Rattus norvegicus: one gene and its partners. The main gene of each other region encodes a partner of the protein of the gene in region 2 in a complex. Links are inferred from orthologs where the notes say so. Each region holds a gene or a part of one and is shown on either strand. Other genes may lie near its edges.

Region 1 (2,984 bases), on a different chromosome or scaffold from region 2:
TCCGTTATTATTAGGTCTTTTGCTTAGCAAGCTTCTTTCAGTGCTGCATTTCCACTCATGACAAGGACCAAGCAAAGTACCCAAGTGGTCATTCTTCAGGCTACATCTCATGTTTAAAGCCAACTGTGAGCTCAAATGGAAAAGAGCAAAAATGAAGGGACTGAAAAGACAGCTCAGTAGTTAAGAATGTTTTTGCTCTTGCAGAAGACCTGATTCCATTCCCAATATCCAAATCTGCCTGAGACACCATATCCAGAGGAGTTGATGCCCTCTTCTGGCCTCCAAGGGTACTGCAAACTCAAGAACAAACCCCCCCCCCCCATTCCCGCCATGCGTGCCATTAAAAACAAAATCTTTTTTTTTTTTTAAATCAAGAATGGGGTTGGGGATTTAGCTCAGTGGTAGAGCGCTTGCCTAACAAGCACAAGGCCCTGGGTTCGGTCCCCAGCTCTGAAAAAAAGGGAAAAAAAAAATCAAAAATGTGGGAATGGAAGCAAGGCAACTTCAATTACCAAGATGCAAGATTGTTTGTGCTTCTCTTTATTTTTTAGAAACTGATCCCTTCTTATGTAGGAACTGAGAGTCCATATTTACCACACTTAACATCTGTGTTTTCAAGCGACCAGTACAAAGTACAAAGTAGACAGCCTGCAACAAGACCAAACACAGAACAGAAGGCCGAAACTGTAGTGTTTGTCAATTTTATTGTGGTATCTAAAACACCTCAGTTTTTACACAGCAACAATAAAAGAGTAACAACAAAAGCAAGAGGAAGTAACAGGATAACCAGGAAGGTGTGATGAGCTGTCCTGCCCACCAAAGCTAGGACACAAGAATGACCCACCTCCTCAGAGCTGCTGCACAAACACTGCCACCCTACACTTTGTATATGAACAGCTTTCCCAAGCCTGTCTACGTGTTAAATGTTTCTGTAACAGGTGTGAGGCAGGTGAGCAATGTCAGTGAGTTCAAGGCTCAAGCCAGCCAAGACGGCAAACTAGGAAGCCCCCTGAGAAAACTGAGTGTTGAGTGTCAGGAATGTGTGTCCACAGTGATCTAATCAACTTTGAAAAACATCCCTATCTCTTTCCTCAGCAGACTGTGGGCACGGAGATACTGAGCGTGCTTTGATCCTGTGGTGAGGAAAGCATTCTGGGGACAGTATGATAGAAGGAACAGTAAGACATAAGAAGCCAAGTTCCTGGTAACCCTGTGGAGTTCATTCTGTTCTGTGGAACTGAATGCCTCTGAACTATTAACGAAAAATAAGCTGTGCAGTAAGAGCCCTCTGCTTTTGGTTCTGCTACAGCAACTTGGCCTGCAGGTTCACATAATTCAAAACAGTAGGGGAAGACATCAGTGTCCAAAGAATGAAAGCAACACTCTCGCAGCCAACAATCCCGTCCTGCCAGCCACATCCTCAAGCGAAAGCAGCACAGGCATACAGCCTATTCGAAATGCTCAGCACCTGGGGACACACAGCTCTAGCACTGGTGGGCACAACCCTGTCCTACCTTTTGCCTACAGGAGGAAAGGCCCAAGCCTTTCCATTCTTCACAATTACCATTCTTGAGGACCAGCCAAATCCAGTTAAAGCATGAAGTAAAGAACAGCTGTGATGTGGTCAGGAGGGGAGTCCAAAGCCCTGGAACACAAGCTACAGCTGGGACCCAAGTCCAGCACGTGGTCCTTGACAGTGCCATGGTGACAGCTCAGCAGGCGGCAGCTGCCAGTCACTAGCGGATCCCAGCCACAGGCACTTGCTGCTGTTTCCGGACCTTGTTGAAGAGCTCCATGTACTGTACCATGGTATCTGCTGGCCCGTAGACCGCATCATGTCTGTTCCCAAACACTGTGGGCGCCCCTGGTGTGTGGCTACCTAGAAAACTCTGTAGGAATTCAAGCAGGAGGCTCCAGCAGTCACTAGCTACCACACAAGGGCCATACTCCACCTGGGACAAGAGAACAGACAGCAAGGGTAAGGACAAGGATGGGCTAGCTAGCTTCCCTCCTGCAACTGCAACCGTCCAGTCACTGGTGAAACAATTAGACAGTGTTGGCCTGGGAGCCTCCTGAAAAGAAACTTGACACGAGGGTCCTTCCTTTTCTCTACCTGGGCACTTCCCAGACTCTCTTGTTTGGTTGTTACTTTGTGACAGGATCTAACTGTGCAGCTGCAGTTGGCTTCAGACTCGCAGTCCTCGGGCTCTGTCTCCCAAGTGCCGAGACAGTAAGCATGTACCAGCACTCCCGGCCTCCGACTCCTTCCTCCTTAGTCTGTCCACTGCTTTACAGGTTACCATTTCAGTCAGCAAGACTCAGCCTGGTTCCCTAAGCCACATGCCTTTCTGGACTCACTTCACATGTGTGTGTTTCAGCTCTGCTTGCTTACCAAAACCATGCATTTTCAGAATTGTTTTATTGTTTCTAAAATCGCAGTTAATGCTGGACACATGGTAGGCTATGGACTTTCACTCTAAAGCTATCTTTCCATACTCTCCATGTCATTTTCAACATCTACATATTTAGGTTCAGTGTTGAAGGCCATCAGCCAGTAAAAATGCTTGCCACCAAGCCCGATAGCCTGAGTTCAATCCCCAGGACCCACATGGCAGGAAGAGAGAACTGATTGCTCCAATCTCTAGATGCACACCTACACCCACGATAAGTATGGTCAATTTTTTTTTTTGACTAAAAAAACTAGATGAAGGCATCTCATACACACATTCTTGGCCATCATGAAAGTGGACAGATGCCACAGGGAAAGATACAGTTTTGTTCCACAGCTCTGGAAGCCTCTTGTAAAACATACTAAGGTGGGGCACGGTGGGCACTGTATGACTGACAGCCCACCTCAGACATCCCTCAGAAAGCTGTGTCCTCAGCCCTTCCTGGAAAGGGTGTTGGTCCCCATACCCTCACTCCCTGCTCTCCTTGCTCATGCCTTCAGTTTTCAGCAACTGGGCCTCTAAGCTCTTTATTTG
Region 2 (3,215 bases):
GAACTTCTGCCTGGTCTACATACAAAATGATGTCTCTCCTCTTGTTGATGACTTAGTTCCTCTTCAGAAAACCTGCCTGCCTCAACCATCTCCCCCGTCCCTGCCTACTCATGTATGGGTTCCCATTGAGGCTGTGTCCTGGTTCTAGAGTCTCTTTCCAGAGGTAGCAAAATGGTGGCCTAATGGCCTCATGAGACCCACAGCAGATTTTGTTTGGTCCTCAGTGTGTGTGGTAGTTTTGGTTTGAAGGCCACCAGGTGGGGGACGCACTCTCCAGGTTCGCCACAATCCCTAGCACCCAGTGTCTTGGAGCCATGGGCACACACTGGCTGCATGGCCACATCACCTTGCCTTCACGTCTTCAGCTGCACCTGGTGCCCTAGTCCTCTTTTACTTTCTGAGAATCACCCAGGGGCGGGGCCTCATGGGATAAGAGGCCTCCTAGCCCCTCCCAGCCAGGCCCCAGGGCAGGGGTAGAAGTGAACCCGCTAGCAGGGGCCAGGCTGTCACACAAGTGGGTGGATTAGTCAGGGAGAAGGAAAGCCCACGGCCAGAAAGATAATCAAATTGGATCTTTACTGAGCTATGGTGAACGCACGGAATACAACACAAACACGTATGATACTAGAGTTCATACTTTAAATTCAAAATTGAAAAAATACAAATTGAAAAATAGAAATATTTAGTTATTAAAATTTCTCTCTTGTAATTCTCTTGTGCCTTTTGAGTGGAAGGTTGACACCTGCCCTTCTACACCCAGGTGTCAGTGCTGGCATTGGTTGGGACAGAGAGATGGGCAGGTGAAATTTCAACCTTAATCCTTAAAACGGAGTTTTTTGATTTAGTAACGGAAAACAGTGACTGTCACAAGTGTGGGCAGCCAAACACTCAGGATACTGCTGGACAGAGGTAAAGGATCCTCGCCATCTTGCAGAACTGCATGCACCCTGTTGCACTGCAACTCGGACTGGGGTCTGCATTCACATCATCGTAAGGCGAGCTAGCCAGTGTTAGCTCAAGTTCAAGTAGAATATGGCCCTCGGGGAACTTGGTCTTGGGTCTCACAGTGTGGGTAACTGGTCCTGGCCGCCTCTCATTTCCAGAAACCAGCTGCAGCAAGGATAGGCAGTCCCACTATTGCTCGAAAAGGCATCCATCTGCCAGGATCACACCCCAGTCATACATTCAGGAGCTGTTCGTGAATGTCCTTCTGAGACAGAGTCAGTGTTCACAAGGGTGGGAACTTCAACCAAACGTGTCTAACCAGGTTCCCTCCAGGGAACCAGGGCTCGGCTCGGCACACTCTGAAGTGAACTGAACAGGCCAGTTCAGATTCCCTGCATGTCCTGGTCTCAGGCAACTGGCTCAGTTCAAGTACAGGAATGCGAGTCAAGGCGTCATGGTGTTTCTTTGAGCATCTCAATTCCTGGTTACTGAGACTAGGATCTGAGCTGGGTCCTGGCAAACAGTGCCACTTGGGATGGAGGTATGGGACAGCCCCACGATGGACAGCCCGACCACCATGAGTGGGACGGAGGTATGGGACAGCCCCACAACGGACAGCCCGACCACCATGAGGGGACTGTAGCTGTGCTTATGAATCTGATGTCTGCATGCACAAGAGCAAGCCACTTCAAAGTCAGGGGCTGGCTTGGCGCCACCTCACAGACTACCTCGGTTGCATGGAGATCACCACCACCACAAATAAATAAAGCTAACCATGTGCTCAGAGTTTCTGTGCAGCCATCAAAAGGCCACTGCTGTGGTTCAGGCAACTGGATCCGTAAGGCCTCTGACTCCTGTGTGCTTCAGCCTGCAAAAGCTTGTCAGACTCACAGGACAGCCTTGATGACAGTTCTTTTCTCCACTGCACTGCATGGCTATTCCTGGCTCTCCAAAGCCTCGCTGGCTCGGAGGGCCCTCTTGAGTTCCTGCAGGAGTGTGTCGCGGCTCTGCGCTGTGTACTGACCGTAGCTCCTGCTGTGCTGGGACTCATAGTGGCGCTTCAGGTTGTACTCTTTCAGCACTGACACGTTTTTTTTGCATATTAAGCACGTAGGCATGCTCTTCACTTCCACAAAGAAATAGTCTCGCTCCCATTTTTCTCGAAACACGCGGCCCTCTCCTTCTCTCTTTCGTTTGGCCACTTTTGAAGGAGACATGGGTACAAGAAAGATTTCACTTTTCTCTGAATGCTACCACAGAACCACCATGGTGCCAGCCCCGTGACTGAGGCAGGACCCCTGCCTCACCGTGGAAGAGCAAGAGTGGTGGGGACTGTGGCGAACCTGAGAGCATGAGCCCCACTGACAAGGCTACTACTGCCAGGCAGAAGGGTGGGCCCGGTGTGTCAGTCTTCTGACACATCAAGAGGAGCAGACTGCAGACTGTGTGAACGTCATAGGTGCTTTACAGCTAACGGGTAAAAAGACTGTGCCATGCTAGCACAGGGAAGGCCAAACAAAACCCATCTGTGGTGGCCCATGGGCCACTAGATTGCAGCCTCTCTCCTGGGATGGGTCAGTCACCTGCACATTAACTAGCGCCTCACACCCAGGCAGTGGTGGTCCAGACACAGACCACACTCAGCGACATGTGCCTGTGTGACAAACCTCTCACTCACTCTCCAGGGGGGACACCTGCACACAGGCCTGAGGGCAGACCGTAAGACAGAAGCTACCCAACCTATCCACACCTGCACCTGGAACCCAGTGCCTGCTGTTTGTGAAACCCTGACTGCTACGGCCTCAAGCACAGAACACATTCCCGTGGGGACATCCTGATTTCCTGGTGTGGCACGTGCCACTTAGGCACCCCCATTCCCTCTTGCTTGCCCTGCTCCTACAAACCATCGCACCTTCCTGACACCCAGCCCTACTGGCAGTCTATGCAGTCCTGCATCCCCAGGACCAATCTCCAGCTTCCCAGTCTGGACTCTGCAGCTCCGGCTCCTTCCTGAAATGCTCATCCCAGGAGCGTCCACCTCCTGGCCCTGCACGCCCCTTTTCTGTGGCTTTGGCTATCTGCACCTAGGTCCCTTCTGGCTCCCAATTACTGCTTCTCCTTCCAGGCTCCTCGGAACCCTGGCTGGGTCAGAGGCATTCTGGGCTCCATAACCCCTTAAGTGCACGTGAGCTGTACACTACCTGCCCACCTGCCTCCAAGTCTCGCAGAACCAGGCACACCATGCTGCCTCCAACTCACCCCAGGGCCCA
Region 3 (3,653 bases), on a different chromosome or scaffold from region 2:
CACACACACTTCCTTTCTACATAATCCACACTACACAGTGCTCACCCTGGCCTGCTGGGGAGCTGCTGAGGACTAATGGTGCTCAGAGTGCAGCCCAGACAGTGCAGGCTGGGTTTGCGTCCACTCTACAGCTACGGCTTTGCGTCTCTGCCTGTGCACTTTTCCTAGAGGCCACAACTCTGCAATGATACTGAAGTGGCTGTAACCAAATCCACATTCAAATGTGGTGCTTTCCTAAGTCAGATGGTAGCCCTGGTAAGGCGTGAGTGTCCCCAGCACTGTGTGACTGCTGTGCCCATCTGTCTGTCTAGCACAGGGCTTAGTGTCTGTCACTCAGCAGTCACTGGGAAGGACACACCAAGAGGTCCCTGAGGGTCCCCTTCTTCCTTCAATCTCTCTCAGTTCTGAGACAGACAGGGCTGTTTATCTCATGAGCAGTGGCTTGGGGAGATCACGTCTGCAGCATGTGCATGCCCTGCCACTCTAAAGCTGCCCTGAAGCACACCCTCAACAACTCCCACAGGCCTGTAGACAGCGCACAGGCTCAAGCTCACTATGTGCACTCGCAAGGACTTCAGTCCTAATGACTCGACACATGAAGCCTGTGCTCCTCAGTGAGCTTCACACCCATTTACTTCCACAAGCCATCGCCCTGCAGTCTTTTAGAACTTGTACCATTGGCTCAGGTATCTGAACCAGGCAGTAATTACATAAACTTTGACTTACAAGGATTTCTTGGGTTCAGACAAAAGCTGACAGAGAAACTGAATGGTGCAATAAATAACTATCTGTACATTTATTGGATTCCTTTAAATTTTGCTGGTCAACAAGATCCTAAAATGATTTTACAGTGGATTAAAACAGAACCATGATTGCTAGCTGAAAATCTAAATACTTCACTTGTTCCCTAGGTAGAAAACAGTTCATCTTACTTAGCAGCCTCATTCTTCCCTGTTTCCTAAGAAGGAACTGGAAACCAATCCTGAGTGAAAAGTGGGGCAGTCAGCAGAGAGACAGAAGCAAGCATCAGCAAGTATACCAAGCATGACAGGCAAGCCCAGTGCAGTGGCACTGGAGAGCACAGCAGGACCTGGCAGTGCCAAGCTGTGCCACCTGGTAAAGCAGTTCCCAGACCCCAGGGCTAGTTTTAAGGGAAGCAGAGCTAAGAACCCACTAGCCACATGATAAGGAGCCAACACTGGCCACAGCCACATCAGACAGTGTGAGCAAAATCTCTTCCCTTAGCACAGGCTCCACCAGGCCGCCAGTCTAACCTCTGGCTGCAGAGGGTATAGGGGGAAGGCGATGGATGGGTGGGAGTGGCCACTCAGAGAGTGAAGACTATCAGAACCTGTCCAGAGAGTCTGGGGCTGAGGCTCCAGGACCTCGCTCAGCAGCTAGAGCCCAAATAGAGCTTGGCAGAGCCCGGCCAGGCACTCCCAGGGCAGCCGGCCTGGCAGTCCTTTCCCTTCCCCACTGCGGTCTGCAGTCATTGGCTGCTGGAACATTCCCACAGCTCTGGGGAGAATAATCTACTGGAAGGAGCGGAATATCCAGGGCCAGGGTCCTTCAAGCCCACAGTCTTTTCAGGAGGCAGAACTGTCACATGGCATAGGTGCTGGCTTCCAAGTCCAGGGTCCTTCTGCCCCTTCCCACCCAGCTCCTCAAGCTGACACCATGTAAACTGCTGGTGTCTATCACAGACACATGGCCAGAATGAGCCCTGAGGCAGAACTGGTTTACTCGCTCCTAAGGCTCATCATCTTTGAGTTCGCTGCTGGCTCAGATGGGCCAACATACAGTCAGTCTCCCTGCCTGACAACGGTCCCTGAGAAGGGGCAAGTGCTGGAGCCCACTCATCTCCACAATCCCTGCAGTGAGACTGGCAAAGCGCTGGTCCATCCACACATGCACATGGCCCGGACACACATTTGTGTTTGTAAATTTTTGCTTTATCTGAGGAAGAAGTTCTTTCTTTCAAAGAAAACAGAGTTTGCACTGCTGATACAAATATTGTTTCTCTGGGCAGACGAGACACCAAGTCACCAGCAATTTCTCCCTTTACTTTTCCCAATCACGCCTCAATCTGTTACTGTATTACCTAACTTTAAAGTCCCACGCTGAAATCATTACCTTACACAAACCAAAGCTCCTCCCACTACTGACAACCATCAGCAACTCCAATCGGAGGTAGGTTCTACGGCAAACGCCACATTACACTTACACACAGCTCTCTGAAATAATCTTAATTTGTCTACACACACGCTCATGCACAGAGAGACACACGCGCTCACGCACAGAGGAAATCTCATTTAAAAATAAACACACGGTCCTGCAAAAGACAACATGGTCACAAACGAGAGTAAGCAAGAAACCAGTCTGAGCCTGAGCTGCCGTGGCCCTGTGACGAGCACTTGGAAACCAGCATGGTTGCATCGCATGCGGTAAGTGGTAGAGCTGCGCACGTACTTGTAGCCGTCTCTAATGGAAGAGGCTGCAGGGGGCATGGGCAGCTGCTCCATTTTCGGAGGAACCGCCCATGAGGGCCGGAACAGACAGGCATCCGGTGTCTTCAGAGGCAGCAGGCAATGGCTTGGCAGCGTCTTCAGTGGAGCAAACATAGAAGAGCCCACGAAAGGCTGGAACTGCGGCACTCTGTGCACGTAGGAAAAGTCCTGTGACAATGAGGGGCTGGGTTAATGCTGGCACGCCGAAGCCAGCCCTGGGTGCTCAGCGCTTCCTAAAACCCGGGCACAGAATCTGCTGTAGAAACAGCTCTCTACATGACGGAGTGAGAGGGAAAACCTAATGCCCTCACTGCTGGTGAGCAGCGGTCAGTGTCCGTCTACTGACGGGCTCCGGCTTCAACAGCCCTTACACACGCGTGTGTGGGCGCCACCGAGAAGCCGCCCAGCCATGGGGAAGCGCACACACTGGTCATTACCTTTATGTCCTCTGGCTTGGGACTTCCTAAGCCATCTTCCACTTCCATCCGGAACTCCGTGAGGTGTGTGGGGACCATACTGACCACAGGGCTCTCCAGCATGCCCAATGCAGTCACTGTCTCTGAACTCACTCCATCTTTGTAATTCATCACCGGGGAAAATGCAGGATGCTGTTCCAATGATGGAGGGGTGGGGAACATCCTTTGCAAGTCTGCAACTGCTAAAAACAAAATTAAAAGTGCATCTTAACAGCAAGATTCCGAAAAGCTCTGACAAGCAGCCAGGCACAGCAGTATCCACACAAGGCTAACGGACTTTCAAGACACAGGTCACGCTCAGGCGTCCACACGTCCCTGGGACCCCCTCTTCATGCTGTATGGTGTCATGCTAATTCAGTCACCAGGGTCTGCAGAGCATGCTTTCCTTCCCATAGTTGACTCTAAGACCTGAAGGAGACGGGTGGAGAAGAAAGTGAAAGCTCTCCAACTACACTACTTATGAAAGTCTATCTCCATCTCCAGACGTTTATGAAATAGTAAGAGAATAAAAATTATTTAGAGCAAGCCTGGGGGGTGGGTGACTGAATCACACAGTCCTGCTCTTTGGGGAATGATCTCACACTGTCTTTCTAGCCATACAATTTTAGAGTTAAGTAATAATAGTACCCAGACTCTAAGGGCTTTGTCAACAGGGCAGGGCACACAGTGG

The links.
Region 1: Med25 (region 2) and Med20 share a complex: the UniProt entries of both Homo sapiens proteins name them as parts of the mediator complex. The link is inferred for Rattus norvegicus from reciprocal best matches to the Homo sapiens genes MED25 and MED20.
Region 3: Med25 (region 2) and Med13l share a complex: the UniProt entries of both Homo sapiens proteins name them as parts of the mediator complex. The link is inferred for Rattus norvegicus from reciprocal best matches to the Homo sapiens genes MED25 and MED13L.

The regions. Positions count from the first base shown.
Region 1 is NC_086027.1:20,867,157-20,870,140, forward strand, and holds the end of Med20 (mediator of RNA polymerase II transcription subunit 20), read right to left. Parts: intron 1,953-2,984; coding exon 1,737-1,952; 3' UTR 525-1,736; downstream 1-524. UniProt on the Homo sapiens protein: Component of the Mediator complex, a coactivator involved in the regulated transcription of nearly all RNA polymerase II-dependent genes.
Region 2 is NC_086019.1:104,495,890-104,499,104, forward strand, and holds the end of Med25 (mediator of RNA polymerase II transcription subunit 25), read right to left. Parts: intron 2,147-3,215; coding exon 1,881-2,146; 3' UTR 558-1,880; downstream 1-557. UniProt on the Homo sapiens protein: Component of the Mediator complex, a coactivator involved in the regulated transcription of nearly all RNA polymerase II-dependent genes.
Region 3 is NC_086030.1:43,491,213-43,494,865, forward strand, and holds part of Med13l (mediator of RNA polymerase II transcription subunit 13-like), read right to left. Parts: intron 3,166-3,653; coding exon 2,945-3,165; intron 2,676-2,944; coding exon 2,470-2,675; intron 1-2,469. UniProt on the Homo sapiens protein: Component of the Mediator complex, a coactivator involved in the regulated transcription of nearly all RNA polymerase II-dependent genes.